Linked DNA regions of Alligator mississippiensis. The protein of the gene in region 1 purifies or fractionates together with the protein of each later gene. This does not show direct contact. Links are inferred from orthologs where the notes say so. Each region holds a gene or a part of one and is shown in the gene's direction. Other genes may lie near its edges. The genes, in order: COPA, COPG1, ARCN1 and COPG2.

Region 1 (7,099 bases):
TGAAATGTTTCCTTACCAAACCCATCATTGGGGCATTTTAAGCCAGGGGAGAATCCTGGTAAAGGACTCGGTCTGGAGAGGGCCACAGCCAGCCCAGAAACTCGTGAGGTTCCCTTCAGCTGTTGCAATAGCTCCCTGGAAGAAAAAAAAAGAAATGGGGGTAAAACAGACCAGCATACTCTACCGATCTCAGAGGGGAAGACAGTGAAAGGATCAAAGACCCTCATGAAAAATAATTAAAATAAATAAAAATATTCATGAAGTCCCTGCGGCATTCCTGAGAGTTGTACTTTTTAATGTCTCATGGCTGCACAAAGCAACTTCCCTGAGGTTACACGATCATTAAGCAGTGGACTGGAACACTAAATACACAGCTCACCTACTCCACTGACACAATCCACTCCATCACCCACTCACAGTTCACACCAGGAAGAACTCTTTAGGAAACAGGAAAACAGAGGGAATAAGCACAACTCCAGATAGCCAATACCCACGTACTGCATAGGACCATGACCTAGGCACAGACCAGGATCAGGTACCACCAAGTGAAATCAAGGAAAGATGAAGCTGACCGTGCATCCTCATCAGTGATGTAGCACTTGCATGGTTTGCACTGCTGACACCCAGCTGGATGATGTGTCAAGCCCCTTGGGAAGGTCATTTCCCCACCCCCACTCAGGCCACTTGGCCAGTTGCGGACCCAGACAGGACAAGAAAGTGGGTTGGGCACTGCATCTCTCAGCTCAAATGTCAAGTCCAAGAGAGATGGCCAAGGACTTCATTCATCTGACAATAGGAACGAGAGCCAAAACAGACAAATGTTATTGATGTTACTGACATGCTGCTTCCCTCCCTGAAAAGGGCCTTTTCTTCCCTAAACATTACTATTTTTTTTAAATGACATCCTGTGCTGAAGGAAGAAAGAGATAGAAATTCAAACTGTAGTGGAAAACAAAACCTTACCAAAAAGGCTGAGATGTAAATAATTCCTCCAAGGCTATGCTAAGGCTCTATACTACACGTTAAAGCTCTTCCTCACAGCCTCTACCAGTGCTTGTAAACGCAACCCTAAGGAGGGTTCACAAATTGCCATGGATGTAGAACTGGGCTCCTGAGTTTTGTTCGAACTACTAAACCATCCATTAAGACAAACAAGCAAGGTACTAACTCGCATCAAATGCACAAATGCTTTTTTAAACAAGGCACCGATATTCAGCACTGCCTTCTCTGGAGGGTGGCAAGGGCGCAACAACCCATAAAATGAGCCATGGGAAGGCTGTCCCTCAAACACCCTGCTTGGGTTAAAATTCCACCTGAGGCTACTGAAAAAGCCACAGGCATCTCTCCTTGGAGTCCTAATCAGAGTTTTGGCCACCAAATTACAGTGCCCCTGTTTGTCATCTCAGAGGAGAGGAGGGTCAATAATTGTTAGCACTGACAGTGGCCCATTACCTGGTGAAGAGCTCCCCTTCTAGCAGGACCATGTATGGAGGATGGGGTCCATCTGAAAGCACCCACTTCAGGTCCTGCTCCTTCTCAACCACATGGATCACTCCTGTATCTCCATTAATAGAGGCTGCAGAGAGACATGCACAACATCACCATGTTTCAGTGAAATCCATTTCCCTCAAAGCTGTACACCTCCTGGGTATTGGAAGGGAGGAGACTAGAAGGCAGTCTGAATTAAACCATGGCTCACCCCACGGCCTGGAAGAGCTGGAGAACCCCTCTATGCTAGCTTATTTGTTAGACCATGTGCATTTCCATCCTTTAACCACAGCAGACAAGATCCACTGTGGGGCAAAGCTTCTACTGAGGAAACAAGATGTTCAACCACAAATCAGCAACATGCTAACTGGCAGGAAGCCCTTTCACCAACCACAATGTGGAAACCCTTCAAAATCAGCGTTCCTTATTTGTCTTCCTCCTCTTCCCAGCCTAAGAAACCCCAAACCTTGACAGCACACAAACACACACATGCACAAAGTCAAAACTAAACTAAGCTTATAACCTATCTAGCTTTAAAATACTAGCCTAGAGACATGAGAGGAAAAGGAAGATGCCCAACTGATTAAACTCAAAGCAAACAGTTACATTATATTACTCTTTCAACTGCGTCTGCTTCTGGGACAACTCTGATCAGAAAAGGCATAGGATCTGAGGGTTTCCCATATGTTTAAGGTGTACACACGTCTCCCTTATCTTGCATCCTCCCAGCTTAAAGGAGAAGAACTGCTAAAGACAAGTGCTCGGTCATACTTACACTGACAGCCTATTTGATGAGTAGCATTCAAGAGACGAACACATGGGGCAGTCTTATTTAAGGTAATATAGATTTTCCTCTCCACAGAATTACCCCAACAAGAACCTGAAAAGGCAGGACAAAACTGAAGATGAACAGGATGGAGAGATTATTTTTTAGCATTCTTTGACAATTGTTACCTCTGTCCCTGCCCAAAAATACTGAACGTACATTGACTGGTTTATTTAGGAACACACGGAATAAAAAAAAAAAAATAAAAAAAATCAGCAAAGAGCACTATGTGATGATCACTGCAAATGCACGTCAGAAACACAACACCCGTGATGGGTCCACTAAAAAATGCTTCAGGGGACCATGCCAGGATTGGGAGCCAGGAGCTCTTTTATCCAGAGGCAAGGATTTTCGGGGAGCAATTTCTTTTATCGCACCACCCACTTTAGTGGGATGTTCCAGATAAGGTCACACTGCTCGTATGCCCACATTTCCCTCTCTACTATCATGACTGGAAGCAGGTCACTCACCCAGCTTCCTTATTAAAGCCAGTCAGCACCATGTTCAAGGTTTCCAGACAGTTTATTTTACATGGGGCAGCCTTGTCCCCACAAAAAAAAGAAAATCAACAAACCAAGCAAACATGCAAATGGCAAACCCCAAACTTGCAGCCTTCCTTCAGAGCTTGGGAGGAGTGAGACAGGCTCTGTACTTTTCCCCAGGCACCACCACCTCCTCCCTCTTGCTCTTCGCTTCTGGAGCTCTTAACTCCCTCTCTATCCCCACCCGCACTTCCTGGTTATCCTTTATAGCTGCTCCCAGCCAGGCAGGCTTTCACCGCCGACTCCCTGCAGCTGGGTCTCAGGCTGAGTTGCAAACTGATCACCAATGATCCTCCTGATACAGGAGCGGCGAGAATCCACCTTTCACCAAGCCTTTGCATCTTCTGTACATTTTGACCATCGGAAGAACACCTTGCATTCAAAAGCGTGTCCAGCTTTATCCCAACCATGCAGTTGGTCCAATAAGAGATAAACCCCAAACTCCTTGCCTCTGGCATACCTTTAAAATGTCAATGCATTGCCTGTCTGCTTTATAATGCTTCGCAACAGCATCTAAAAACCCACTTGGAGCCACGTTAAGCGTGTCAGTTAGTCTGCCACTTTTGCTTTGTATCCGCCAAAATCGTGCGGTCGACTTTACAAGCAGGCAGCGCCACCCCGGCCGGCAGAAGGAAACGCACGGGAGGAAGCACGGGGCTACGCGAAGTTTTGCCGGCTGCTTCGTTTGGAGCTCGAAGCGAAGCAACGAAACGAAGGGCATTGAAACGGCCTCGAAACGAACGTTTCGAGTCTCGCAGCTGAAGCTGGGCTCGCCTGCAAGGAACCTGCGAGTCAGGAGAGCGAGGGGAAGACGCGGTCTCGTATTGAGCGTGGTCCTGCCCTGAGGTCCGAGCCAAGCCCAGTGCTCTGGGGGAGGGAGGGAAAAACAGCACGCAAAGCAGCGTTGTTTGAACCGCCCGGCTTTCCGTCGCCCTCGGCCAAGGGCTTTGCTTGGGGGTCACCTCAGCTAGACTCACCCGAGGCCGCCACACAGAGCAGGATCCCGCGGAGCAGCGCCCCGCCGCCCCACGGGGCTCCGGGTCCTCCTCCTCCCGCCCGCCGGAGCCCCCCGGCTTGCCCCGCCGCTACCGCCATCTTGGTTGGCACTTCCGCTTCCGCCCCTGCCCGGGGGAAAAGGGGGTGGGGGTAGTGCGCCTGCGCACGACGCACCCCCCCACCCCTTCCTTCCGCCCCGGAGGACTCGCTCTCTATGGTTCCGGCGGGCCGGGGTGGAAGCGGAAGTGGCGGCGTGGGGCAGTTCCGGTGCCGACGTGGAGGCCAGGCCGAGGAGGGCGTCGGGGCCGGGTCGCGATGCTCACCAAGTTCGAGACCAAGTCGGCCCGGGTGAAAGGTGACGGGGCCTCCCCAGGATCGGGCCCATCCCAGCACCCTCCCCTCAAGTCCAGGCCCCTCCCTCAGCACGGCGCTTCTCAGGATCGGGCCCATCCCAGCGCCCTGCTCCACTCTTCCCTATGTCCATCCCCTGCACCCCCCCCTCCCCCAACCTACATCCCAGTTTCCATGCCCCCCCTCACACGCTATTTTGCCTCCCGTGGGCTCCCCCACACCCCAGTCCTGACCCCGGTTTCTCTTCCCCCCCCTGCTGCTGCCTCCTGCCCCCGCCTCTGCCTCTGCCCTCTGCATCTGCCCCAGCGTCTGCCCCTCTCAGCTGGCATCAGGGGTGTTATCAGTCCAGCCCCGGGGCCTGGCTGGCAGCGCCAGTCTCCTGAAACCCCTGGGTCTGGTGTCTCTTAATGTTTGTTAACTCCTAGCTCGTTGCTGGTTCTAGGCCGGTGTTACGAGCTCGTGGGTGGTAGATGTCAGTGATATCTTTTACCACCGGTGACAGTTGCTGCTTTCTGTCTGCACATCCGTCCCCGCAGCGCTGGGAGGCTTTAAAAAAAGCCATTGGCGGCACATGGGAGTAAAGCAGCCTGCCTTTATCTTGGAGCCCTTAGCTGATGTTTTCAGTGAAGCTTTTAGGTGCCTGATTGTGGCCCCTTGGAAGGACCTGAATTTTCTTTTTTTTTTTTTTGAAAATGACAGAACAAGGAGCAATGGTCTTAACTTGCAGCATGGGAGGTTTAGGTTGGATATTAGGAAAAATTGTCTTATTAGGAAGGTGGAAGAGAGATGGTGGCATTTCCATCCTTGGAGGTTTTTAAGACCTGGCTAGACAAAGCTTTGGCTGGGATGATGGAGTTGGGGCTGGTCCTGCTTGGAGCAGGGGCTTGGATTTGATGTGACCTCCTGAGGTCCCTCCCAGCCCTCGTTGTCTGTGATTCCACGACTTCTACCCACCCTGAGGCCCCTTTGGGGTATCTCAAGGTGAGAAGAGCCTGAAAATTAACACTGATGATGATCATGTTCTATGTGGTGCTTGAGGATGTGCTTTTTAAGCATCTCAATTGGGCTGTGCCAGGTTTATTTCCAAATGTTCATAGAGAGCTGATGCTTCCTCGTTCTTATTGCTGAAACTCATTTGTAATCAGAACTATGATGCAATAAATCTCTCAGCAGCTATGACCTATGAACCTCCCAGCAAGGTATGTTTGCATGCTTCCTCTTTGGGAGTTTAACAGCCACTTGTATCCTGTGTTTGAGACCTGGCAGGTCCAGATGACTGGTTCTTCCCTGCTTCCACTGCTATCTTTGTCTCCAGAGTTTGCACTTAACTGGAAACTTGACCCCTATGTATTTCTTTGTCTGTCTGTTTTAGGGCTCAGCTTTCACCCAAAGAGGCCCTGGATCCTAACAAGTTTGCACAATGGTGTGATCCAGTTGTGGGATTACCGGATGTGCACCCTCATTGACAAATTTGATGAGCACGATGGTGAGTGTGTGAGCTGGAGTAGGGGGGGATGTAGGAGATAACACTTCAGGAAGAGACTGAAGTGCAGCAGGCACTTTGCAGAAAATGACAAGCATGTGAGGGGAAGAAGCGTGATCTTTTACTTGATTCCCAGGTTTGGGCTTCCAGAGGTCTAGTTTCTAATTCTAGCTGTGTTGCATATTCTGTCTTTGGCTTTGGGCAAATTACTTGCTCTTTGCACTGTTCCTGAGCTGTAACATGAAGATAATGCTGCTTTGCTTTACAGGGGTGTCTTAAGGATAGCTTTGTTGGACGTGTAATAGATTCTTAGGTATTATATTGATGTGGCTAGAAAAGCCCAGTAGAGAGAAGAAAACTTGCTTTGAGGAGGTCTTAGGAAGCTGCTCTGTCACTTTGAGGCGTTACTTCATCCATTGAAACGCAGTAGGAAGTGATAGAGCTGCACTCTTCTTCAAGTGAAGTGATAGCTTGCGCTGACTGCTGATGTAACTATTAGCTCTATCCCTGTGTCTCACATGCCCCATTTCCCCTTGCAGGACCTGTCCGTGGTATTGATTTCCACAAACAGCAACCTCTCTTTGTCTCTGGAGGTGATGACTACAAAATCAAGGTAAAACCTTCCTTCCTACTTCCCATTGTCCAAAGAGTCAGGGTGTGTAGTAGAGCATGGGAAAGCTGTAAAATGTGTGAAACATGCGTGCAAGCTTAGAGCCTAATAATAAAAAATCAAAAGACAATGGAAATGGTGAAGTTGAGCTCAGGAGGGCATCACGGGGAGCTAAACTTAGTGATGAGGTCTGTTTCTCACTTGACTCGGGTCATGTAAAATGAAAGAGACTATAGTCTGTGAGGCAGCTGGCTTCTTGCAGGTCCAGAACAAGTTGTCAGCAAGGATCGGGGCTGAGTTTGGCAAGCCTCTCACAGTGTTTTGTTTTATTGTTGTCCAGGTCTGGAATTATAAGCTACGCCGCTGCCTTTTCACCCTGCTGGGACACCTGGATTACATTCGTACCACCTTCTTCCACCATGTAAGTTTTCCTGCAGTGTAACTTGAAGTATAAGTCATTGTTATGCACCTTGCCTCATTTTCTGTAGAGGAAATACTCTCTGTCTGCTTTTCTTTTATGGTAGTAATCATAAGGGTTCCTGGTTTTCTCTGATTAAAAAAAAAGAATCTCCCATTTGTGGTTTAAAAAAGTAACCCAAAATCCACATTTTTTCTGTGATTAAAATGAAACCGCACTATAGATATCTATATATTAGTGGTTTTCATTTTTAATCACAGAAAGATATGGATTTTGGATTGCTTTTTTAAATCTAGAAATTGTTTTGTTTTTTTTAAATTGGAGAAAACTAGGATCCCAGATTAACACAATATGCTGAGGGCTGTTCAGTCGTAAAGAAAGTCTT
Region 2 (7,293 bases), on another chromosome or scaffold:
GATAGTTCCTACTTCACAGGTGTTGGGAGGATAATGATCAATAATGGGTCGGGTATGGAAAAGTCAGGGAACAAGCAAGCAGAGAGGAGGGCCTGGGAATCCACGGTACCTTCTGTCTGCATATTCTGGAGCCACTTTCAAGTCCAAACAGCCCCAGGGGCTTCTGTCAGACTAATGTGGGAAGTGGGAGAGGCACCAGAGTTGCTGTGTGACACAGAACAAGCAAAAAATGAGATAAATGCTGCTCCCGTCTCCTGACCCAGTCGACAGCCAACATTTTACAGATCCCTGGCCCCCAACCCCTGGCTGGCAGGTAGCTTGGGGGCCCCTAGCAAGAAACTATTTCTTGACAGTTTTGTTTTAACGAAAGGAAGTTGATCTTTAAGGAGAATGTTTCCCTGTGCTTTGGACAGAAAATGAAACAACTCTGGGGATAATACAGAAAGCAAAATTGACAGGTGAGGTTTACAGGAAATTGAGACAGGTTAAGAGCTAATGGACAGGAACAATGGATATTTGTCTCAGCAATCTCTGGGACCCTGGGAAAAGAAACACAAGTCAATTAGGCCTGGCTCTTCCCTTTATGTCGGCGTAGCTCTGTTGTTGCAGTAGAACAATACCTCCTGCTTACAACATTATGGGATCAGACATGACCTCTGGATTTCTCTCTAGACAGGTTTCCCTCCGGCTGCAGGGACAACTGTCTCTTTGTGACTCAGGCTACCAAATCTGGCACTTCACCCAATACACTGTACTGCTGTATATTTTTAAATATGCCAGTTTCCAGACATTTGAAATACAAGGTCTTAAATGTGTTTCCTTCTTGCTATCTCTATGCATCTCTCTTTATAAAAAAAAGATGTTCATTCTCCTGTATAAGAGAGTTTATATTTATCACACTGAAGAATTTAGGAGAGAGTGCAAAGAAAGATGGGATATGTAAAATAAAAGGAGTCTTATCAAACACTTCTGTTGTCTGTATAACCATTCGACTAGTATGTCACATCTGACTGCATCATCATAACCTGGTAGGACCCTGTCCCCCAAGGTAGCATGCATCTCTATCGTTGGGGACCAGACAATAGATGAGCCCAGAAATAAGTGAAGCTGCAGCAAGTTGCTCCTTCCTTCTATTGGCATTTTGTCTCCTGAATAGGGTAGTAACCAAGCCAGGGGTTGATAGAAGTGTACCATGCTGGCAGTGTGCAAGTCATTTGGGAGTAAGGTGGCAAGTAAGAGGCAAAGTCACCCCTGCGGTTGTCAACTGACTGAAGAGTAAAATTATCTCTTGTGAGGTCCTTCTGGACCAAGAGTGAAGTGGAGACAATGTGGGTCAGGAACTGCTGTGATGATAGCAGGCCGCAAGGAGAGCAGTTCCCATCTAGCAGGATGTAATTGTGCAAAGCCCTTGAACAACTGCTTTGGAGCTGACCCAGGTATAGCAGTGACAATCTCTGGCAACAAGCCATGTTCAAATCCTCCTTGACCAAATTCAATGGTGTGTATAGGGAATAAAGAGAAAGCAGAGTCATTCGGCAATAGAAATAGGAGCCAAATTAAACCTGGTTCATGGAAAGCAGTGAAATGGCACCAGTTTATGTCAGTCAAGTATTTGACCTCCCCCCACTTGCTCCACATGTCTTATTTGGGTCTCCAACCAGGGTTTTAGCAGAAACAACGCTCTTGCCAGCCATGAATGCAACTGTGTGTAAATGTGAAACGTCACATTTCACCGCTGGACCCTGACTCCCACGTCTTTGGTGAGCCTTTGAGATAACAGCAGAGAGCAGGGACCAGCCACCAGGTACAAAGTCCACTGCCTGTTTGCACAGGACAGGTAAAGGACTGGCTGGAAGGAGAAGCCCTCCTCAGCCCAGCTGCAGCTGTTTCTGGACACTGCCATGTTCTTTGATGACTACTTGATCACTGGTAAGTACGCTTCTCCTTACAGATCCTTGCAGTAGGTGCTAGCAGCAAAGTTACAGTATCTGGCAAGATGTTTCTTAAGAAGGGCTCCTGTGCACTTTGTGATTCAGAGGGTCAGGCAGGTAAGATAAATTGGTGCAGCGCCTGGAGGTTTCAGCAACAGGTGCTAACTCTACCAATAAACAGTGCTAGGGGTGAGTAGTAACAGCTAGGCTTCCTTTTGCCAACACTTAGACTCCTAGGTGCCATGATTTTTCCAGAGAATGATGACATTCCCCACAATGCGGCTTCTGTACAGTCTGACCTCTCCGTCCAGAGAGGATGGAGGACATGCAGCCAGTGCCATGACCCACTCGGATGTCCCATCTCACTTGCTGAGCAGAGCTGGACTGGATCTGAACTGGGAGAGTCCTTGGGTGTTCACTCACAGGTGGGGCTATAGCAATCCTCAGCGATTATAGTGGTAGGTAACACCTTTCAGTCTGAATCAGCGCTGAACAGCCTGGTAGCATGACGCTAGGCGGAGCTGTGCTCCATTGCTGGAAGTGTCGGCTTTCAGATGAGATGTAAAATGTAAGCCCTGCCTTCCTTTAGTCATTATGGGAGGTGCACAGCCGTGTCCTGGCTGAATTTCACTGAATTAATTCCAGGTTTCCCTAAATGCCCCTGCATTTTTAAGTAGTGTTGGAGTGATGCTGTAGCTGTGATGGTCCAGGCAGTTGGTCCAATAAAAGATAGCACCCTCAGAAACCCTTGGTCCTGCATTTTTTAATGGGATTTTGTGTCCATTCTCATTCCCAAACCATTGTTAGTGAAATGTTCAATGGATGCCACATCCCACACAGGCACACAAGAGAGGGGAATGGACTGAGACAGAGGCAGCCAAGGGTGTTGAGGACTCATAGTGCTAAATTACTCTGGCCCCTGCCACACGTTACATTTCAAGCATGATTAACCAGTTAATCACATCTTAAGTTGTAACCTGGCCACACGTTCAATCATTCAGTGATATGATACATAAGGAATAAGGCACCAAATTATTCCACAAAACACATGTAGTAAGTTTGTGTCTGGTTCCTATCACACCATTAATGGAAGATGTAGCCAGGTGCACCCCTGGGGCTGGGAGCACTATCAGCTGAGAGGGCTCCCAGCTGCAGGTGCTTACCACTGGCTGCTGCTCTGGGCAGAAAAGACAACTGGGGTCAAATAACACCAGCAAGGTGTGTGTCCAGTCTCCTTTTGAAGACCTCCAGAGTAGGTGCCTGCACCACCCCTGCTGGGAGTCCGTTCCAGAGTCTGCTCACGCAAACTGTATTTGTATGATAATTTTAACCCTTGTACAACAGATAATACTGAAAGTGTTCAAAATGTACAATAATTTTTTCACATCATTATATTTGGGGGAAAAAAACCAAGTAAGTCACTCCACCGACAATCTGAGCTGAACTAGTTTATTTAATCCTATGATCTCACCCGTTCTCACTCGCATTGAATTGGAATTTGAGAAGGAATAAAGTGAGTCATATCTGCCATTTATCTTTAACTGGAGATTTAAACAGTGAGCAATAGAAAGTAGCTGCATAACAAACACATCGCTAAATCCCATTGTGTAATAATACTAAGAGCTTTATTTTAAATACTATGTAACATCTTAAATTGATTGGAAGTCAAAGGGGTTCTGCGCCTGCCTCGCTTGCAAATTCCAGGCACGTACCTAATACAGCCTGCTGCAAAATAAAGCGTACAAGATTTACAAGACGCAGCCCCGAGCCGCGAAACAGAGACAAGAACAATCGCAGTAATAAATTCAGTTTAACCCGCAGTTGGAGAAAGACTTAAACCAAAACCTCCTGGCCAAGTCTTTGGGGAGAGGAGGTCTCTTTTATTAGACCAACTAAATAGTTGCAAAAAAAGGCTGAGCGGGCAGTGCCAAGCAGGGGGGCGCAGCCTGCGATGACACCAGCAGAAGCGACCACATAACATGACGTCACTTTAAAAAGTCTTATGTGCACACTTTTTGTTTCAGTGCATGACAGTTTTTCAGAAAATACGGGAATTGACCTTCCAATTTCATATTTAAAACCCGCTCCCTGCCCCAGACCACAAACCAGCCTCGTCCCGACCCAGCGCCAGCGCCGGACACCGCCCCGCGCATGCGCAACCGGCTGCCTCCCTCTCGGGTCGCAGCCCTGGGTTGGGCCGTGCCCCGCCTACCACCTAGCACCACCTTCCGCATAGCGCATGCGCAGCCCCCTCCTTTCGCCCGGCCACGTCGAGGTGAGTGACGGCTCCGGGCGCCTTGCGCGTGCGCACATGCGCGAGACGGGCGGGCTGAGGTGTCCCAGTGACAGCCTGGCAGGAAGTGGCGTGCGGGCAGGAAGTGGCGCCGCTGCTGGGCTCGCGACCCTCTGCCCCCCGTGCCGGGCTTTGCGTTCCACGCGCCCCCCACCCCCTGCGCCAGGATGCTGAAGAAGTTCGATAAGAAGGACGAGGAGTCGGGTGAGGCGCGGCCGCAGGACGCCCCCTGGTGGTGGGGATGGGCGGGGCAGGGGCACCTGCCCATGCAAGGACAGCAGGGCCAGGGCTTTCTGCAGTGGGGCAGGGGCAGGGGCTGCGGTGATGCTGGGCTGGCATCTGCAGGTACCGGGCCACACCGGTGCCCCTCTGCTGTCGTCCTGGTGCCCTGCTGGAGGTACCACCGGGCTGCACTGCTGCCCCATCCCCTGCCAGGTGCAGTGCCAGGGCTGGCGACACAGCCTGCCCCAGGTGCTGATCCTGCCCAGGGTTCGTACGTTCTCTGCACGTGGAACCTGACCTCGGCCATCCGTGTCCAGGGGTGTTTCCACCTCTGCAAGGACAGGCTGGCTGGCTCCACGGGGCCAGGCCAACCTGGAAATGCTCAGCAACAGGGGGTGCTACCGTGGTATATCGTGGAGGACAGGGGCGAGGGTTGGAGTGATAACGAGGGATTGGAGGGGGGCGCGGAGCGGGGGACATCAGCTGGTGCCCACTGCTCCTCAAACGCATCCAGGGCTATGTGGTGTGCATTGGGAATGCGGGCTAATGCCCACCATGTAAAGCTACAAGCCCCCCTTTAATATGGGGTGCCACAAAGTGCACATGACATTATTGCTGGGGACACCTAAAGAAGAAAATGGGGACAGGAGTGAAGATCAGAGGTTTAAAAGGGGCACACCATGGAGGGACACAGAGCAGAGCACGCTGGCCAGCACCCACTGGCTCACCACCAAGTCCAAGGAGCCAGTGAAACTCTGCCTGGAGACGTGAACACAAAGGCAGGACAGGAAAGCAGCCCTTGAATGCATCTAGGGAGCCTGCAAATGCTGCCCAGTAAAACTGCCTGGAGATATGCGTGGAGGAAGAAGATCTGCCCACAGGTCCCCAGGTTGGCTCCACCCTGGGTGTCCTTCCAAGTCTGGTAGATGACAAGCTTGGCCAGAGCCAAGTGGAGGTTGCCCAGCAGACCTGCCAGGAAGGGATTTCCTTGGACTTGATGACCCCAGAGGTCCCTTCCAGCTCTTCTCTATGATTTCTATTTTGATGCATGTCAGACCTGTTGATATAGGTTTGGGCCTTCTCTGAGCCTGTTTCTCCTTCAGCTCAGTACTTCCTAACGATCCTAATGATTTTGTGCTTTTGGGGGTGGGACTAGTTTTTTGGGCTCTCTCTCCAGGGACTCTATATAATGGCACCTAAGACACATGTCAGGGCCTCTCATGGTCTGTGCAAATGTCAGAGAGGCTGTTAAGGAGGCTGATTGAAGATGCGATTGGTCCTTTGTGTTGTGGCTTTGGCACTCTGTCCACCTCAGTGTACTTCACCCTGCTTCCTACAAGCTTTTATTTACTGTATCCACCCGGCCTGCACATCTTGGAGACCCTCCAAGTCCACGTGAATATTTTTGCTCTGGTTCTTGGTGCTTGTTTGCATTAGGCTTTTCCATGTTAAATGAAGTTTCCTCTCTCCGAGCTACATGCACAACAAAAAGCTAATCCACAGAGGATTTCTTTCAGTCTTGAACTCTTGCCAAGTTCAGGTTTAAGTGATGTAGCGTGTCCCTTAGCTTACTGACCTCACAGATTAGTCTAGTACATCCAATCGTAAAAGGACAGAGAAGATCATTTTGTGGGTAAAACCTGGTAGTCAGGGGACCAGAGATCTTTTCCAGTTCTTCCACATCCTTCTTATGCAGCCTGGGCAAGCCATGTAAGGGCAATTTCAAAAGTGGCCCCAACTTCTGAGTGTCCAGTGCAAGGCATGTAGCAGTGCTGAGCATTCCCAACACCCCGCGGAGGTCAGCGGAAGCATGTCCACAAACCAGTACTCAATTAGAGGTCATTTTGGTAACTGTAGCCCATAACTTATGTGCCTTGGTTTTCCCCATCTCTGAAATGGGGATAATTATTTGGGTTGCAGGATGCTTTAGTAGTTAAGTCAACACAGATAAAATGCCTTAAGATGCTTAGGTGCAAGGAGTTGGAGAAGGGTCAAGCAATTGATGATGGTTAGTAATATTAATGACAGGTTTGAGAATTACAAATATTAGAAGCCAAAGTGATCCTTGGGTTGCAGGAGTGAGCAGAGTTAGGGGCACTGGATGCTGTTAAGCCTTCCCTGCTAGGTGAGCTTATTCAACCCGCTTTTGGAGTACGTACATCTACAAACACTGGCATTCATCGCTCCTCTCTTGTCGTCTCCCTTCTCTCTTCATCTGCACATTTAAGCTTTGTTCAGCCACATGTTGTGTTGGTGAATGGATCCCAAGGTGGAGGGGTATCTCTTGCCTACATGAAAGGAACCAGTGCCTTTAAGTATAGATCTGAGTCTCACACAGACTGCTTCTCCCTTATACAATTCTTCAGGGCCAGATCATAACAGGGCATTACATGTCAGGGACTATACTGAATGCAGGCAGCACCAGTGTTGAGCGAGGGTGGCTTTGGGTCATGTTGGGTCCACATGGCAAATTGAGTTTAGGCACTAATGAAAATTGCTTATCAATAACTGCCAACTCAGGCAAGGCTGAAACTCGCTGATACGTCCAAGAAGGGCAGATAATGGATGCTACACATAATTGTAGTTCTTGCCCTGTGAGCGTTCCAGCTCTAATTGTTGATGTTTTTCATCAAGTAGCGTTTGGTCTGTTAAATAGGATGATTAAAGAGACTCTATTTCCAGGCTGTCCAGTCCACTGCCTTGTTCGCTTTAATTAACTGTAGATCTGAAAAAATAGCTTATTGATGGATTCCGCTGATTGCATGATGGAGCAGAGTCTAACACAGTCCTGATTTACCGGGGGGATGGGGAGGTAGAGCTTTGTGGGTTTATGGCTATGTTGGATTG
Region 3 (7,000 bases), on another chromosome or scaffold:
CATTTCCCCTTTTTTAGCAAGACGGCCAGAACTGTCTGAATGACAAAGCAGATAGGAACAAGATTTTGCAGATTACCAGGCACTGAAATGGCCTCTCTGCATGCCAGACAAGAAGGATCAAGCAGCACAGATTACGGTGGCATGAGGGGGCAGAGCTCACCTGGTGTAGTGCACAGTGGCAGGTGGCTTGAAGCGATGCAATTCACTTATGCTCTCAACCCAGTTGTCGATGGCCTTGGGATTCTTCTCAGCATTTTCCAAGCTCTTCACTTTTACCTGCTGCTGAAAAGAGAAATGAGAATCTGGAGAGACGTGCTGAGGCCTGCGGGCTTTGTTTCTGACTGGGCCAGGTGGTTTTGCTGCTCTACGCCATCCCACTTCTGCACGTTGGAGCAAAAGATCAGCAGGGAAAGAACACAGTGACAAAGGCAGCAACAACCAGATCGGGGAGCAAAGCCCTGACGGAAGGAAACAAATGGATCCAAAGTCTTTTGATCAGGAGGGGCCTGTGGCCAACTGCAAACATATCCAAGTGTCTGGGCTTAAGGGAAAATTTTTTTCCAGATCCAAATCCCCATCAGACTAATCAGAACACCCATGCAGGTTAGAAAGACACTCATTTTTATACCACACTTAGCATGGGATTAACAGCTTTCCTCCCTTGGCAACTTACTGAGACACTGTGCTGCTTTGAATTTTCTGTTAGCCAGAGAGCGAGCACTGTAGGGTCTGACTGCTTTGTAGACGGCTCATCCAGTACCAACAGCCCAAGGTTATCTGGTTTGCCGTCAGGACGTGGAACCTGCAAATTAAGAAAGAAACCAATTGTTTTTGTTCTGTATCCAAAGCGAAGGAGGGTGAAGGATTTTTAAAATGGGAAACTCTAGACTCCAGAAGGAATGGATAAACCTGCTCATGTGCGAGATATGGATTGTTTGAGCTTCCAGTCAAGCTACCCACTGAACAGACACAGGCAAAGATGCAGTCTCTGCCCCTAGAACTTATGGCCTGTTTTAATGGAAGTCAATGGAGAACTGGTTGCATGGATGTCCTACAACAGCTTATGCACCAAGGGAAGTTGGGCAGGTCCCTACTCCTGCGCCGGGCAAGGCGATATTGCTGCTGTTCCAGCAACGAGAAAAATCCAGTGGTCTCCCCCTCCCTCTGCTACGACGGTTCCTGCAGGAGGTGGCCCTGCTTGAAGCTGGGCAGGAGGAGTTGCAGGGAAACCCGACAGTGCTGTACCTTTAAGAAGGCATCGATGTCGCCAACGGCTGGAATGAAGTCTGGGATGAAAGGCTGCAGGCTGTGCTCGAGCTCTACCGTCTGTGGGGTGTACCTGGGAGAGGGCAGGGGAGCGCACCCTCCTCGAGTACGCGGCCGGGAAAGACGCTTCCTCCCCCAGCGGAAGATCCTCGCGTGCCCTCCACTCACCTCCTGATGTACTGGAAGAGTTCTTTAATCTCGGCAGACACCGGTAGATAATCGTAATCTGCTGGGTTGTAGGCACTAAACAGAGAGAGAGACGCCAATGCAGTCTGTTTTGACAGGTCCCGATCACGCTGTCGTGACACGGGATCTGGTAAAAGTGTGCAGAAGCGGAGAGCTGTGCTGGGCTGACGGCGGGCAGGAGCCAAGGCTCAGGCACACGTTTTGGTGAGCAAGAGCTGACCGCGTCGGATGAAGCGCGCTCTTGCTCGTCAAAGCTCGCGCCTCCGATTCAGCAAGTCCAAGGCGCGGCTCTAGCCTGCGTGGCGCGGCGCGGCGCGGCGCGCACGGGTGCTGCAGCAGGGGAGCCCGGGCCGTCCCGGTTCGCTCCGCGCAGCCCGACAGGGCAGGAAGGACCCACGGTCCCCCCGGCCTCGGGCCGTGCCCTTCCACCGCGGCAACCACACGGCGCCGGCTGGGAACGCAATGCCCTCCTGCCAGGGGAAGAGAGAAGGGAAACGGCCAGGAGGGCGCGGGGCTGGGGTGCCCGGGATGAATGCGGGGCAGGACCGGGCAGGGGAAGGGCTCCAGCGCTGCACTTCCACGTCTGGGCCCGGCCGGGTCGCATGAGGCTCGCCCGCCGCCGGGGCACCCTCGCCTCCTACCCCTGCAGCGGGGCGCCGTGCTCCTCCTCCTCCTCCTCCTCCTCCGATTCAGACGAGTTGTCGTCCTCGTCCTCGTCCTCGTCCGCACTGAACCCTCGCGGGGCGGCCGCGTGCGGCGCTGCTCTCTGCTGGGGACAGCCCGGCCCGGCGCGGCGCTCGCCACACGCCCACACCCACACCCCCGCCCGGCCGCGAGCGCCCGTGGGCCGCCCCGGCCTAGTCTCCCCCCGCCCCGCCCCGCCACACGGCCGGGGGGCGTCGCGCCGCTCCCGCCCGCGCCCCTTGCCCCGCGCCCCTCACCCGGCCGCTCGCGCCGCGCTCCTCGTCGCTGCTGGTGTCGGGCGGGCCCGGGGCGCGGCGCGGCGCGGCGGCGCGGGCGGAGGGCGGCCGCCCCGGGGGGCTGGCGGCGCTGGCCTCCTCCTCGGCGTCGGCCGCGTCCAGGCTCTCGTCGTACGGCTGGTTCTCCACCGCCCGCGTCTGCGGCACACGCGCCTCAGCCTCGGCCCCAGCCCCGCGCACCGCCCGGCCCTGGCCCAGCCCTCCGCCCGGCCCCGCTACCTGCAGCGCCGCCATCCCGCCGGGCCGTTGCCGTTGCCGTTGCCGTGGCGACCGGGTCTCGCGAGAGCGGGGGTGGGGGGCGGGGCGGGGCAGGCGGCGCTTCCGGCTGCGGACGTGGCTCGGCGCCGCCATCTTGCGGGCCCGGAGGACGGAGCAGGGCCGGGGCCGGGCCGGGCTGGGCCGCGCGCGCCACCGCCGCCATGGTAAGCGGTGCCGGGCCGGGGCTCGGCCGGCAACCCGCGGCCCTTCTCGCGCCTGCGGCCAAGTGGAAGGGGCCGGGGCCTCCTCCGCCCGCGGCGGCTGTCGCCGGGACGGGCAGGGCCCGCCGCCGCCCCCCGCCAGGCCGCGGGGCCGAGGCGAGCGGCGGCGGCCCGCTGTCACCGGCTGGATGCGCTGCGCACGTGCGGCCGGGCCGGGTTCGCTCCCCGCGCCCTTTGTTCCGGCCGCGGCAGGACGTGTCCGCCGCTGCCCTCCGCGAGCCGGGCCTCCACACCGCTCCGGCCCCGCCAGGCCCGCGGACCGGCGCCGTGTCATGCCCGCGCGGCGCTTCCCTCCTCTTCCCGGGCGGGCGGGCGCTCCTCGAAGCCATGGCCCGGGCCCGGCCCGGCTGTCTGAGGCCGGGAGGAAAGCACTTCAGCCATAGTTTTGCGCCGCGGATCCTTAGTCGGGGTCTGGTTTCCGCCGGAGGGAGGTCATTGTTTAGGCAGCAGAAGCGAGGCCGTGAAGCGCCCGTACCGCGGCGCGGCGGGGCACAGACGACACGAGACGAGGCGGCTGCTGCAGCGGGTCGGGGCTGTGGCGGCGCGCTGGTCCGTGCAGCGTCCCGCGCAGCCCGGCTCGGGCGCTGGCGTGCGTTGTACGCCTTCGGTCTCGCCCCGGGAATCCAAGCGGGGTCTGCCCCTCGCTACCTCGGGCTGCCGTGAACTGACAGAGACGTTTCTTGCAGGCTGCCGCAGGTGACGGGTCCTCATATCTCTGCGTGCAGGGTCTTTCTGGGGAGTCTGGGCCCAAGTTATTTGTGTCGGTCGAACGTTTGGGAAACAGGATTTTTATCGTTCTGATCTTTGCAGGGTTGAGACCAATGGCCGGGCTGGTGGTAGGCACCCCGCGGCTCCCCTCCCCCCCTCCTGACACACTTATCGGGATACTGCCTGTGTCGAATCAAGACGAACAGGTCAATGTCCAGAGCCACCGAGTCTCGCTCAGCTGTGGAACGTGTTCAAGCCTCAATCGCGTTGGTTTGATTTCTGTTTTCCACGTCTAGGAAGTGGTTCTGTTGTTGCGAATTCGTTCTGTCAGCGATCAGGATGTGACAGTGACACATCACCACTTCTTACCTGTGCGCGGCGAGCTCTGCCTCCCTCATATAAACTTGGATCAAATGCTTTGTAGTTTAAAGGCCCTTTAAGATTGATACTGGGTCAGGTTCCTGCGGCTTCATAACCTCTAATGTGTCTGTTACCTGGCACAAGTAATCCATCACCTGTCCACCTCTTCCGTCAGGTGAGTTGATGGTGCAGAGTCTCATCTCTTGTGGAGTCCTCCTTTTGCCTCTTCCATTCGTAGTCGGCAGTCTTTATCTGCTGGAGGCCCCCGGTCCCACGTAGGCTGCCTGTCCCCTTCTGTACAGGGGTGCTCCTGAAAGCAGAGTGTCTTGTTAGTGATGCAAAACATGTTTGTGGAGCTGGTCTCTGAGCCCCGCGGACGAGGGAAGTGCACGAGGCTCACTTCTGCCTGTTTGTTTCACAAGGGATTTGCTCTGCCATAAAGCTGTTGTAGCCTGGAGAGGATTTAAGCAGTTCATTCAAGGCATCCACACACCCCGTCCAGCTCTGGGAGCCCATACAGTGAAAACTTATGGCCGTGTGTTGGACTGATGTCTCAAATAGGTCTTTTTGATAGTTGCCAGTGTTTGTCTCATTACCAAAGAGCCCTAAGTAAAGAAAAAATGGTAAAGTCTCTGTGAAACTTTGATCGTTCAAGTGGAAGTAAATTCTTTTAGAAGGAAATGTTTGGAGTCACTATTTCGCCACGTTTCATATTACCGTTTTCATGACAGTATCTCTGAAAAGTCCAGTGGAGCATTCTGTGAGCTGCATTAATGTCCTGTTTAATATTTTATTAACAAATCCAGTACAAGCATAGCTGACTTTTGAAATGGGCCCTGTAGAGAGGAACGGTAGTTAAAGACATTCCCTCATTTGTTAACGCTTGTAATCTCAGTTTAAAAGCAGTTTTGTAACTTCCTGCTATTATCTGTTGCCTTTGTATTTTTGCATTTCATTTGGTTTGGACAGTGGCACTCAGCTTTGTGTTTTTGATTAGTTCTGTGCCTTGGCATTCCTGCAGTACCACAAAGATGCAGTGTAGTTCCTCAGGCCACTAAAAAAAACATTTGAAAATAAGCTCAGTAAAAAGAAGGTCCAGAAGCTAAATTTTGGAGCTAAAATCCCTTCAGTGGGTAAAAATGAACACTTATCTGCAAAAAGCAACATTGCTCAGGTAACAGCTGATGGCTAAGTGACCTGAAGCTTTATGCGCACACGCAGTGGAACCCGAGAAATACCCTGAGCCAGTCTCAGATTGATTTAATAATACTACTGTAGGCTTATAAAAGGTAGCAAATGCCACTTGGACTTGTTCAGTAATAATGTCCAAACTACTGCAACAGCTTTATAGAAGGTTAATATTTTTGTAGTGCTGTTTTGCCATTCGCGCTTCGTTGGACAACGATTCCTTGCCTATCTATGCATGAGCTATTGGTTCAACAGCTGAAGGCTGTTAATGATACAAGTTCCTTTGCCCTAGCAGGTGGCATTTGCTGTCTTTTACATGTGTGAATCTTATTTTGCAGTGAACGCCTGCGTAGAACTGCGGGTGGCTGAGCTGTGTTGTGAACTGGATTGGGGGGTGGGAGGAGCAAGGAAAAGGGAAGGTGGGTTGGATCATGTCTCAAGAGGAACACAGGTTTGGGTCCCTCCTGTGAGGGTTCGTGTTGCTGTGCCAAATAGGGTCATGTAAATACTTTCTTCATTGAGCGCTAAGTGTGCTGGGCACCATACAGAGGAATGCAGAAACCAAACCTCTGGTCAGAGACCTTTCCTCACAGATAGACCAGTACCGTTCAGAAGACACTTGCCCAGAAAATCTGTTTGCCTGCTGAGTGGTAGTAATGATGCTTGTATTTGCTGCAGGTGCTGTTGGCAGCAGCTGTTTGCACAAAGGCAGGGAAGGCCATTGTCTCGAGGCAGTTCGTGGAGATGACTCGAACCCGCATCGAGGGGCTGCTGGCAGCCTTCCCCAAGCTCATGAACACGGGGAAGCAGCACACATTTGTGGAAACAGAGAGCGTGCGCTATGTGTATCAGCCAATGGAGAAGTTGTACATGGTTCTGATCACCACCAAGAACAGCAACATCCTAGAGGACCTAGAAACACTCCGGCTCTTCTCCAGAGTGGTAACTACTACTACTTCTGGGTCGCTTAGTACAAACCTTGTAAGCTCTTTGACCTGGAAGAAGTGTTAGGAGGTGCTGCATTGGAGAGCTGTTCCTGCAGTACTCTGCCTTCTTAAAACAATCCGATTGTTTTGTGGCCTGTTTCTGTTAATGAGCCTGCTCCTGCGAGCTCTTGTACTAACCCTGGCCCAAGTAGGACACATAGTGAGTTTTAATTGAGATTTAAACAAAAACAAGCTACTCTTCCACTAAGATAAGAAGCTAACAAGTGTGTAGAGCTCTAAATAAAACCCTCATACCAGCTATTAAAGTAAAATGGTGTGAACAGAATTTACTGCATGTTCTTGCTATACTAGTAATGCTGTTTTAAAAACCTCTTTGCATATTTATTCAAAGTGTTGTCTTTATAAAGCTTTATAATTGTCCATCAGCCAACTAATTTCTGGAGCTGTCTTGGCTATCTCTTAGCACAGCCCGGGATCTAGTATCTGCTCAGGCTTCTGTGGATTACAAGGTCACTGAACCAGAGGATTATAGCTCCATTTAGTCTTTTAAAAAGTCTTCAGCAACTTATTAAATCATGCAGCTTATCACCACACTTTGCTTATTTCCAGTGCTGTGAAAACTGGTTTGGATAGCAAGTGGAAGAACTGGAATTATGGCATTAAAGAAGTGTTGGTCTGGCATTTTGGGGTCACTTAAGGCTGGGTCACAGGAACATTGTCCTGGGGGTGGAAATGACTTCAGTAACAGATCTATGTAAAGCCTCTCTGCCACTTCAGTCTCACTCAGGCCCTCAGACTATGATATAAATGATGTCCAGCCCTTGTGCCAGGGTTCAGCACCAAGATAAGTTTGCTCTGTAGTGTGGTGGGAGGAGCAACTTAGCGC
Region 4 (7,584 bases), on another chromosome or scaffold:
TTACATATTCAATTTATTTACATCTATATATAAAGTTTCCTTTGAGATTAGGGGCATTTCTACTTACTAGCTTACGCGTCTTGTCTAGGACCACATCTATTATTTGCTTTCCAACAGTGTAGTGACCCCGAGCATAGTTGTTGGCTGCATCCTCCTTTCCGGTGATGAGCTGCTCTGGATGGAACAAGGAGCGATAGGTGCCAGTTCTGATCTCACCTGGAAAAGCATGTTACAAGTTTTGTTTTGTTTTTTTTTTGTTTTTTTTGTTTGTTTGTTTTTTTGTTTTTTTTTTTTTTTTTTTTTTTTTTTTTTTTTTTTTTTTACACACACCAACCATATGCTGCATTTAAAGACTTCGATCTCGAGGTGCTATTACCCCCAATAATGAATATAGCCATGCCTGCATCACAGACAGATCAGACTAAAGCCAGCCATGTGTGTTACCTATGACCGTGGGTTCCAGGTCTATGAACACTGCCCTGGGCACATACTTCCCAGCTCCAGTTTCACTGAAGAAGGTCCCAAAAGAAGAGTCAGTTTGTTCAGCTGTTTCCGAAATGATACCATTTGGTTGGAGCCCATGTTCTAGACAATATAATTCCCAGCAGGCGTTGCCCATCTGGACTCCAGCCTGGCCAATATGGATTGAAATGCACTCCCTCTGCATAAAGTTGGGGAGAGAAGCAACATGAAGTCACACCAAGATGCTACACTTCTTAACTGTCCCCTTACTCTCTCACTCGATTTACCTCCTCACCCATGGAAAAAAGACTCCAGGAGGACTGGGCAGCAATCTCGGCCCTTTCTGCCTGGGCTACACAGGCTGTCAAACTAGGTACAGTAATTCATGGGTGTGGATGCACAAACTTCTAAAAGTTATGTTAACCCTTATAGGCAGATATATCAAAAGGGTTCAAGTGCAGCAAAACAACTCCAACTTTAACCCTGGATGAAGGAGTGTTGAAAGTGGAGCCAGTTCTGCACTTCAGTTGCTCTCAGTGTGTTCACACACAATTAGAAGGTACCAGCTGCTGCCCTTTGGAAGTGCTCCCCTTTTGAAAGGGGCTCCAAACGTTCACCCTAGGCTTAAACCAGCCTAAGGGTTAGGTCAGTCCACACCCTAATGGGCCTTTCTGGCCCCAGAAACTGGACTGCGTGTGTGTCCCCCACTTCCCTCTCCAGCCACCACCATAAGCAACTGGAGACAGCTACACAAAGCCATTACAGGAAAGTTCCTCTTTTCAATAAGAGGTCAGCTAGCAAAGTTTATTTCAGGGGTTTGCAACTAGTAGACTTAAGTTTCCTCCATGCCCCCCTTGCCAATTGTAGGAAGCAGAAGCTACAAGTAAAACAAAGCAGAACAAAACCCTGAAGATCCAGCAGTTCCTAGAGCCACACATCACGAATTCCCCAGGATGGGAGGATATGGTTTTCCCTTTAACTCGGGGATAAAGCCATTCAACAACATGCTCATAAATTCATACTCAAGGTGTGAACAATTGCAAATGACCATTCCTCAACATGCTTCATGCTCCCCCCTGCTACCCAACATTGGTATCTTTTTGAACATCTCAGAAAAGACCAAAGATCACAGCTACCTAGAGTTGCACTAGCATGCCTAAAGACACAAATTGAAGCTTATTTAGTTTAAATAATGGGACAAATAACACTTATTTTGGTGTGGCTACTGTTCCTAGAGCTGTGGTTTCATTAGATTCATTCATTCAGGCAAAATAGAGTTTTTTTAGTTAACCTTAGAAACAGCATTCATATGTAAAGAAGAGAAATAGCCTTACATATTTCTAGGCTAGTTAGGAGAGTGAATTTGAGTTACTTTGAAGTTTAGTCAACTAGGACTGAATCTGGCAGAGTAGGAAGAGAGTGCAGACAGGTTCTAGCTGAAGCACTATCAAACATGTGCAGCAAACAACACAAGAGATACCTGCTCTCTGAGAAGAGCACCAATTGTTCCTCCTAACCACAGTAGGCAGAAGCATTTCAGATCAACGTTATTTTCCTAATTCATTAACTCCCAAACAGAACAACTAACTATAGAAAAGGAATCTGCTCTCTCAACTTTAATAGGGAAAAAAAAAAAAGCTACACGCCAACACTTACCATGGCCCAAAAAACCCCCAAACCAACTAACTAACCACAAGCAAAAACACCATCTTACTAGTGTTTCCACTGACTAATTTTATACCCCTCCTGAAAAAACCTCCCAGCTGTTCTGTGCAAAGAGCAGCTTCTTAAAGGGGAAATAATTTTGTTTCTCCTTTGACCAGGGTGGTTTAATAAAACTTAAACAACTGGGTAACGATGTGTATGTGTGCTATTAGTGGCCTGGGCTTGGAAGACAGAACCTGGCTTATGCTAGTATTTGGGACATAAAAGCATCGCTCTAATACTCTAAGTATCACTCTAATGCGAACAAAACAAAGGAAAAGACATTCAATTTATAAAAATTCAGCACATATTTTGCCTGTTTTTAATTAAAGAAAGGGATAAGGAGCTGAAACCAAGGCATTTTACCTTAGATATGAGGGGAAAAGCACCCAGGTATGATGTATAGTAATCCCCCAAAGAAAATGGTGAATGCTTTGTTTTTTAAATAAGAAATAGCTTTGTATTAATCTTATAATTGTTGTGTCATCTGTCAGAGGGATGTCTCCTGATATCGTAAGGAAGTGGGTTACAGGAGCTAATAGGCCCTATCCTTCTTAATTAGCGTAATAATAAAAATGGAAAAGATGAAGCCATGCAGAGTGTGCCACAGAGACCCCCAGCTATGGGCCAACGAGTCTTCAACCGCGGAGCAGGCGGAAGAAGGTGTTAAAATCCCAACAGCTGCAAAGGCTGCAGCAGAAGAGACCCCGGTTGCCTTGGCCTTCTTGCCATTGGATCAAGGTGCCGTCCTGCCAAGAGCTGCGTGGAAGCTGATGTGCAGGAACTTCTCCACGATAAAGGAAGTCACGCAGAGGCATCTGCCGTCTTCCAGGCCAGCTGTAAAGAACAACCTCACACTAGCTGGAGGCAAGGAGGACTTAGCCCTGCTTTTGCATGGAGACCGGCATGCATTCAAGGAAAACCCCTGCCTCCAAGCCAAGCCACTGGGACTTTCAGGCCTGCACGTACGATGCCCGCCAAATGATTTGGAAACATCTGGAGCCCCAGGCAGGGGTAGAGGATATTTGCCGGCAATAGGACCACTTATGGTTCTTAACTAACTCACAGATTTGGAATTCGGTTTGGCTGATTCGGCTTGGAACATGGAAAATTTTCATTAAAAAACAAAAAAACCCCTCTATCTTTCACTCCTCCTCAGCTTGTTCCTGCCACCGTGCGGCTGAGGGCAAGCGAAACTCGGGGGCATCCGAACCCCAAGCCTCCAGGCTTGGGCCTGCACGTAGGATGCCCACCAAAGGATTTGGAAGTATCTGAAGCCTAAGGCTGGGGTGGAGGCTACTTGCCGGTAGCAGGACCACATCATCTTGGATGGTTCAAATGGATTTGCACCAGATTTGGCTAATTTGACACACAAATTTTTCCTTCTAAATTAACCCCCCCCCCAAAACTATGACTTCCAGTGAACTCACAGGTGCAAAGTAAGTAGAGCATGGGTCAGACATTTGCACTGTAGGGTAAACAGGCTTATTTGTCACCTTGAGGGATGTCCAGGTAACCTATTCTCCCCCCTCAGACGGGGAGGCTAGAGAAAAGGCGATTGCTGGGGACAAATAATAAAAAACCAGGGATGGGAGTGATGGTCCAAGGTTAATAAATAGTGCCAAGGGGAGATATGCCAGACTAGGGTGACCGCCCGTCCTGCATGGGGTGGGACAGTCCTGCAATGGGAACCTCAAGTGCCAATCTGGGCTGTGGGACTGCGGGACGGCATTCGACATGGATTGGCGTCTGCAAATTGGGAAATGGTGGGTTTCCCTTTGCAGGCGGGAAGCATTGCAGCCTGCAAGGGGCTGCTGGGTGCAGGATGCAGTGGGAGCTGGGGGCGCCACGTGCACATGCTCGCCTGCACACGCGCGTGTGGCTGGGAAATAGAGAGAGCAGCTCCCTGCAGGTAAGTCTATGGGGGGAAGGGGGCACAGATCGAGGCCCCCGCAGTGAGGGCAGGAATGGAGGGGCAGGCGCTGCTCAGCCCGGGCGGTGCATGGGTCCAGGGTGGTGCATGGGGGGCACGTGCCCTTGAACGGACCCGGCGGGCACTGCCCAGGGATGCTCTGCTCCATGACGGGAATGAAGGGGAGCAAGGAAAACAGCCCTGCACTGTTGCACCAGGACGGCTCTGACTGCTGGAGGGCGACATTGTGCAGCCTGGCAGTGAGGGGGGCACAGTGGCATGCTTCACCCCTGGCTGGGCCAGCTGGACTCAGTGCACGTGGGCTCAGCTCTAAAATAAGGCCGCTGCACCTTTAAGAGCCCCCCCTCCCCCCCATCCCGGTCTGAGCGTGTCCCGCCTCTCTCAGCCGGCGAGCGTTCGCTCTGACAGGCAGCTCCGCGGGCCAATGAGAAGACGCGCTGCGGCAGACGGCGGGGCGGGTCTTCCGGCGGAAGTTCCCTCGCGGCTGCACCTCCGAGGGGCAGCAAGCGGCTGCGACATGATTAAAAAGTTCGACAAGAAGGACGAGGAGGCCGGTAGGGGCGGGCGGGGCGGCCGGCCCGCTGCATTTCCGGGTCTGTGACGTAGAGCGGTGTCGGGCCAGTCGCGCCCGTCGCGCGCAGGGGCTGCTGGGATAGTAGCGGACCTGTCCCCGCGGGGAGGGCCCTTCCCGGCCGCCGTCGTGCGCGTTCTAGGGGCCCCGATGGTGTCTGCAGGGCCTGAGCAGTGATTCTCAACCGGGTGACACTTGGCCATATGGTGTCAGTGGGGTTACAGCGCTGATTCTCAACCGGGTGACATGGGGATGTGTGATGTCAGTGGGGTACAGCAATGATTCCCAACCGGGTGATATGGGGGATGTGTGATGTCAGCGGGTATGATGTCAGCAGGGTAAAACAATTATTCTCAACTGGGTGTATGGTGCCACGTGGTGTCACTGGGGCTAAAGCAGTGATTCTCAACCAGGCAGTACTTGGCCATATGGTGTCAGTGGGGTAAAGCAGTGATTCTCAACCGGGTGATACGGGGACATACGATGTCAGTGGGGTTAGAGCAGTGATTCTCAACCGACCTATGGTCTCTGTGAGGCTAAAGCAGTGATTCTCAGCCCCCCCCCGAGGTGCCTCGGGATCCTTTCGCGGGCGCGCCGTGTCACGCAGACCTGGAACCCCCTAGACTTCAGCGAGCGACCTGCAGCGCATGGACACGTCTAGGATTTTGAACGGAGGAGCTGCCGTGTCGAAACTCGTTGATCGGCCGTGACGCGACAATGCATCAGATGCCCCAAAATCAGCCTCCTCTTACCCCGCGCACAGCTCCCTCTCCTTTCCGACCGGCCGGGTGTGCACTGGGTAAAAATAACCTTCAATCCGCAGCCGGCGCTTGCTGACCGCCTTGTTGGCAACCTCCGTGCTGCCCAGGACAGAAAATACTTGGAGCTCGCTGGCATTGCCTCATCCGATCTCCGCAGCGCTGCTCGCTATCAGGCTCAAAAGCGCCCTGTCTAACTTGTGCTCGCTGTTTGCGTGCAGACCGCGGCAGCGTCCGCCTGTTAAGATTGAACGGTTTAGTCGAGGTTTGGACAGTCGACTTGAATTCCCTCCTGGGCGGGTGTGGGGTGGATGAGCCGTTATTTCCCTCCGGATTTCAGTCTTCGTTCAGTAAACCGCCTAACTGTGCGGTTGCGAAGGTGGCCAAGATGCCGCTGGGAGGCTGTAAGCGTCGTTTCCTTGCCGACAAGCGCAGGGGCAGCGGTTCGGGTGGTTCTCCTCGGCGCTTTGCCAAGCAGCAGCAGAGCGTAGCTTTTAAGGTAACTTTTAATGATTTAGATCGTTTTGTTTCTATCGTGAGGAATCCTTGGCAGAGCAGTGAAACGGGTGGCTCTGATTAATGTCATGTTGCTGCTGGAGACGCTGAGAAACAGGAACTGGGATTGGCGATAGGACATGGAGTGGAGCAGACACCCAGGGAAGTCGTGGGCTCTCCGTCACTGGAGGTGTTCGAGCGGAGGTTGGTCGGGGGTGGACTAGCATAGCTATGCCTGTGTTTTTCCTGGGGGTATTTCCCAGGTTTTGTAGCTTTGCTGGTTTCTGCATTGGGCTGGGAGGGGATTTTTTTCCTTCCTGCTGCTGTAAGTGTCAGGAATTTTGTGTTTTGTTTTTTTTAAAGCCTTTCTCAGTCGTGGGATGTTGGCGGCAGCTAGGGCTGGGGATTTTGACTGGGCCGTGCCAGTGCTTCTGCTGGGACGAAGCCAGAGGTTCCTTCCTAGACAGTCTGGTCCCCCCGCTCGGGGGCAGACTGATACCATATCGGGAGTGAGGAAGAAGCTTTAACCCGTGGTCAGACAGGAACAGACCGTGGGTGTGTTTGTCTTCCTGTGTAGGGAGCAGTGAGGTCCGCTGTAACAACTCTTGTAGCAGCAGGACGTTGGCTGCCGTGGTCCCCCGGCTTTACTCGTGGCACATTAGGGCGCCGTGTTTTGTGTTGCGTCAGGATTGACTAGTTTCCTGAAGAGTTCAGAGTATGGATTTGTCTAGGGTGGTTTGGATAAGATTGATCCTGCCTCAGGCAGGGGATTGGGCTAGATGACCTCTGGAGGTCCCTCCCAGCCTTGCTTCTCTACAATCCATGAAAGACAGTTCAAAATATGATGTCTCATGGGTAAGAGGGATGGATTAATAGAGCCCCTGTCCCTCTTTTGCAGGAACTAGGAGGGTCTGGCATGGAAAGAGGCAATAGAAAAACCTTACTGTCTCTTAACTAATAGAAAGGTTTCAAGTTATAAACTTACTGGGTACCCAGAGGCTGATACAGAGCCTCAAACAAGGGTTTAGGGCTGATGCCATGGTAGAAATCCAAGTTCCTTTACTCTTCCTGAAATTGGAGATGTGGTGGGGCCAAATAGGTTGCCCCCCTTGGCCTTTGCTAGTGGGAAGTCTCTTACAATCTGTTGTACTTACCTGTGCTGACAGATTTAGCCTCCTTTCCACATCCGTGTCTCTGCTGGCAGAAGTCTTGGCAGCGGACAGACCACCAGCTGTCAGATGACATAGGTGTCCAAACACGTCTACAGCACTGTGTGGCTCCGCTCAGCAGCTGTGAGGCCACAGCAGGAAGTGGGACTTGAGAACAGGGCACCAGATGCCAAAGGGACTACAGCCAAAGGCACAGGTGTGTCTGCGTAGGCTGGATGGTGGCAGGAGCTTAGCAGAGGTGGTGTAACTTTGCCAACAATAGTGTAGGTAAGCGTTTGCCTCCTGGACTGTAGATACCTGGTAACGTTTCAGAGGGATGCGCTGCTCTGTTATGTAACTTCTACCTTTTCTAAGGACAGGACTTTCTGGAAGGTCGTCTGAAAGTTTGACTAAGGCTGGCTAGTGTTAGCAATTATATTGTGATTTGTAGCAGACAACATGACAGGGGTTTGTTCTGGGGACATGTGAATGTGATGGCTCCGTATGCTGACC

The links.
Region 2: the proteins of COPA (region 1) and COPG1 purify together in Homo sapiens (affinity purification with mass spectrometry; 6 studies listed by BioGRID and IntAct, counting the BioPlex papers as one, with this or other methods). This does not show direct contact. The link is inferred for Alligator mississippiensis from reciprocal best matches to the Homo sapiens genes COPA and COPG1.
Region 3: the proteins of COPA (region 1) and ARCN1 fractionate together in Homo sapiens (co-fractionation; 4 studies listed by BioGRID and IntAct, with this or other methods). This does not show direct contact. The link is inferred for Alligator mississippiensis from reciprocal best matches to the Homo sapiens genes COPA and ARCN1.
Region 4: the proteins of COPA (region 1) and COPG2 fractionate together in Homo sapiens (co-fractionation; 4 studies listed by BioGRID and IntAct, with this or other methods). This does not show direct contact. The link is inferred for Alligator mississippiensis from reciprocal best matches to the Homo sapiens genes COPA and COPG2.

What each region holds. Positions count from the first base shown.
Region 1 is NC_081838.1:15,764,760-15,771,858, reverse strand, and holds the start of COPA (coatomer subunit alpha), read left to right. Parts: upstream 1-4,099; 5' UTR 4,100-4,167; coding exon 4,168-4,207; intron 4,208-5,575; coding exon 5,576-5,689; intron 5,690-6,225; coding exon 6,226-6,299; intron 6,300-6,636; coding exon 6,637-6,717; intron 6,718-7,099. Other genes in the region: NCSTN (nicastrin), read right to left, coding at 17-135, 1,453-1,576, 2,264-2,368, 3,834-3,951. UniProt on the Homo sapiens protein: The coatomer is a cytosolic protein complex that binds to dilysine motifs and reversibly associates with Golgi non-clathrin-coated vesicles, which further mediate biosynthetic protein transport from the ER, via the Golgi up to the trans Golgi network.
Region 2 is NC_081835.1:19,921,558-19,928,850, reverse strand, and holds the start of COPG1 (coatomer subunit gamma-1), read left to right. Parts: upstream 1-4,284; 5' UTR 4,285-4,391; coding exon 4,392-4,428; intron 4,429-7,293. UniProt on the Homo sapiens protein: The coatomer is a cytosolic protein complex that binds to dilysine motifs and reversibly associates with Golgi non-clathrin-coated vesicles, which further mediate biosynthetic protein transport from the ER, via the Golgi up to the trans Golgi network.
Region 3 is NC_081839.1:34,978,737-34,985,736, forward strand, and holds the start of ARCN1 (coatomer subunit delta), read left to right. Parts: upstream 1-3,992; 5' UTR 3,993-4,100; coding exon 4,101-4,154; intron 4,155-5,845; coding exon 5,846-6,109; intron 6,110-7,000. Other genes in the region: IFT46 (intraflagellar transport protein 46 homolog), read right to left, coding at 161-282, 674-802, 1,246-1,339, 1,435-1,509, 2,094-2,221, 2,394-2,570, 2,652-3,185. UniProt on the Homo sapiens protein: Component of the coatomer, a cytosolic protein complex that binds to dilysine motifs and reversibly associates with Golgi non-clathrin-coated vesicles, which further mediate biosynthetic protein transport from the ER, via the Golgi up to the trans Golgi network.
Region 4 is NC_081827.1:5,731,130-5,738,713, reverse strand, and holds the start of COPG2 (coatomer subunit gamma-2), read left to right. Parts: upstream 1-4,572; 5' UTR 4,573-4,616; coding exon 4,617-4,692; intron 4,693-5,968; exon of another isoform or gene 5,969-6,063; coding exon of another isoform or gene 6,064-6,127; intron 6,128-7,584. Other genes in the region: tubulin alpha-3 chain, read right to left, coding at 68-216, 445-667. UniProt on the Homo sapiens protein: The coatomer is a cytosolic protein complex that binds to dilysine motifs and reversibly associates with Golgi non-clathrin-coated vesicles, which further mediate biosynthetic protein transport from the ER, via the Golgi up to the trans Golgi network.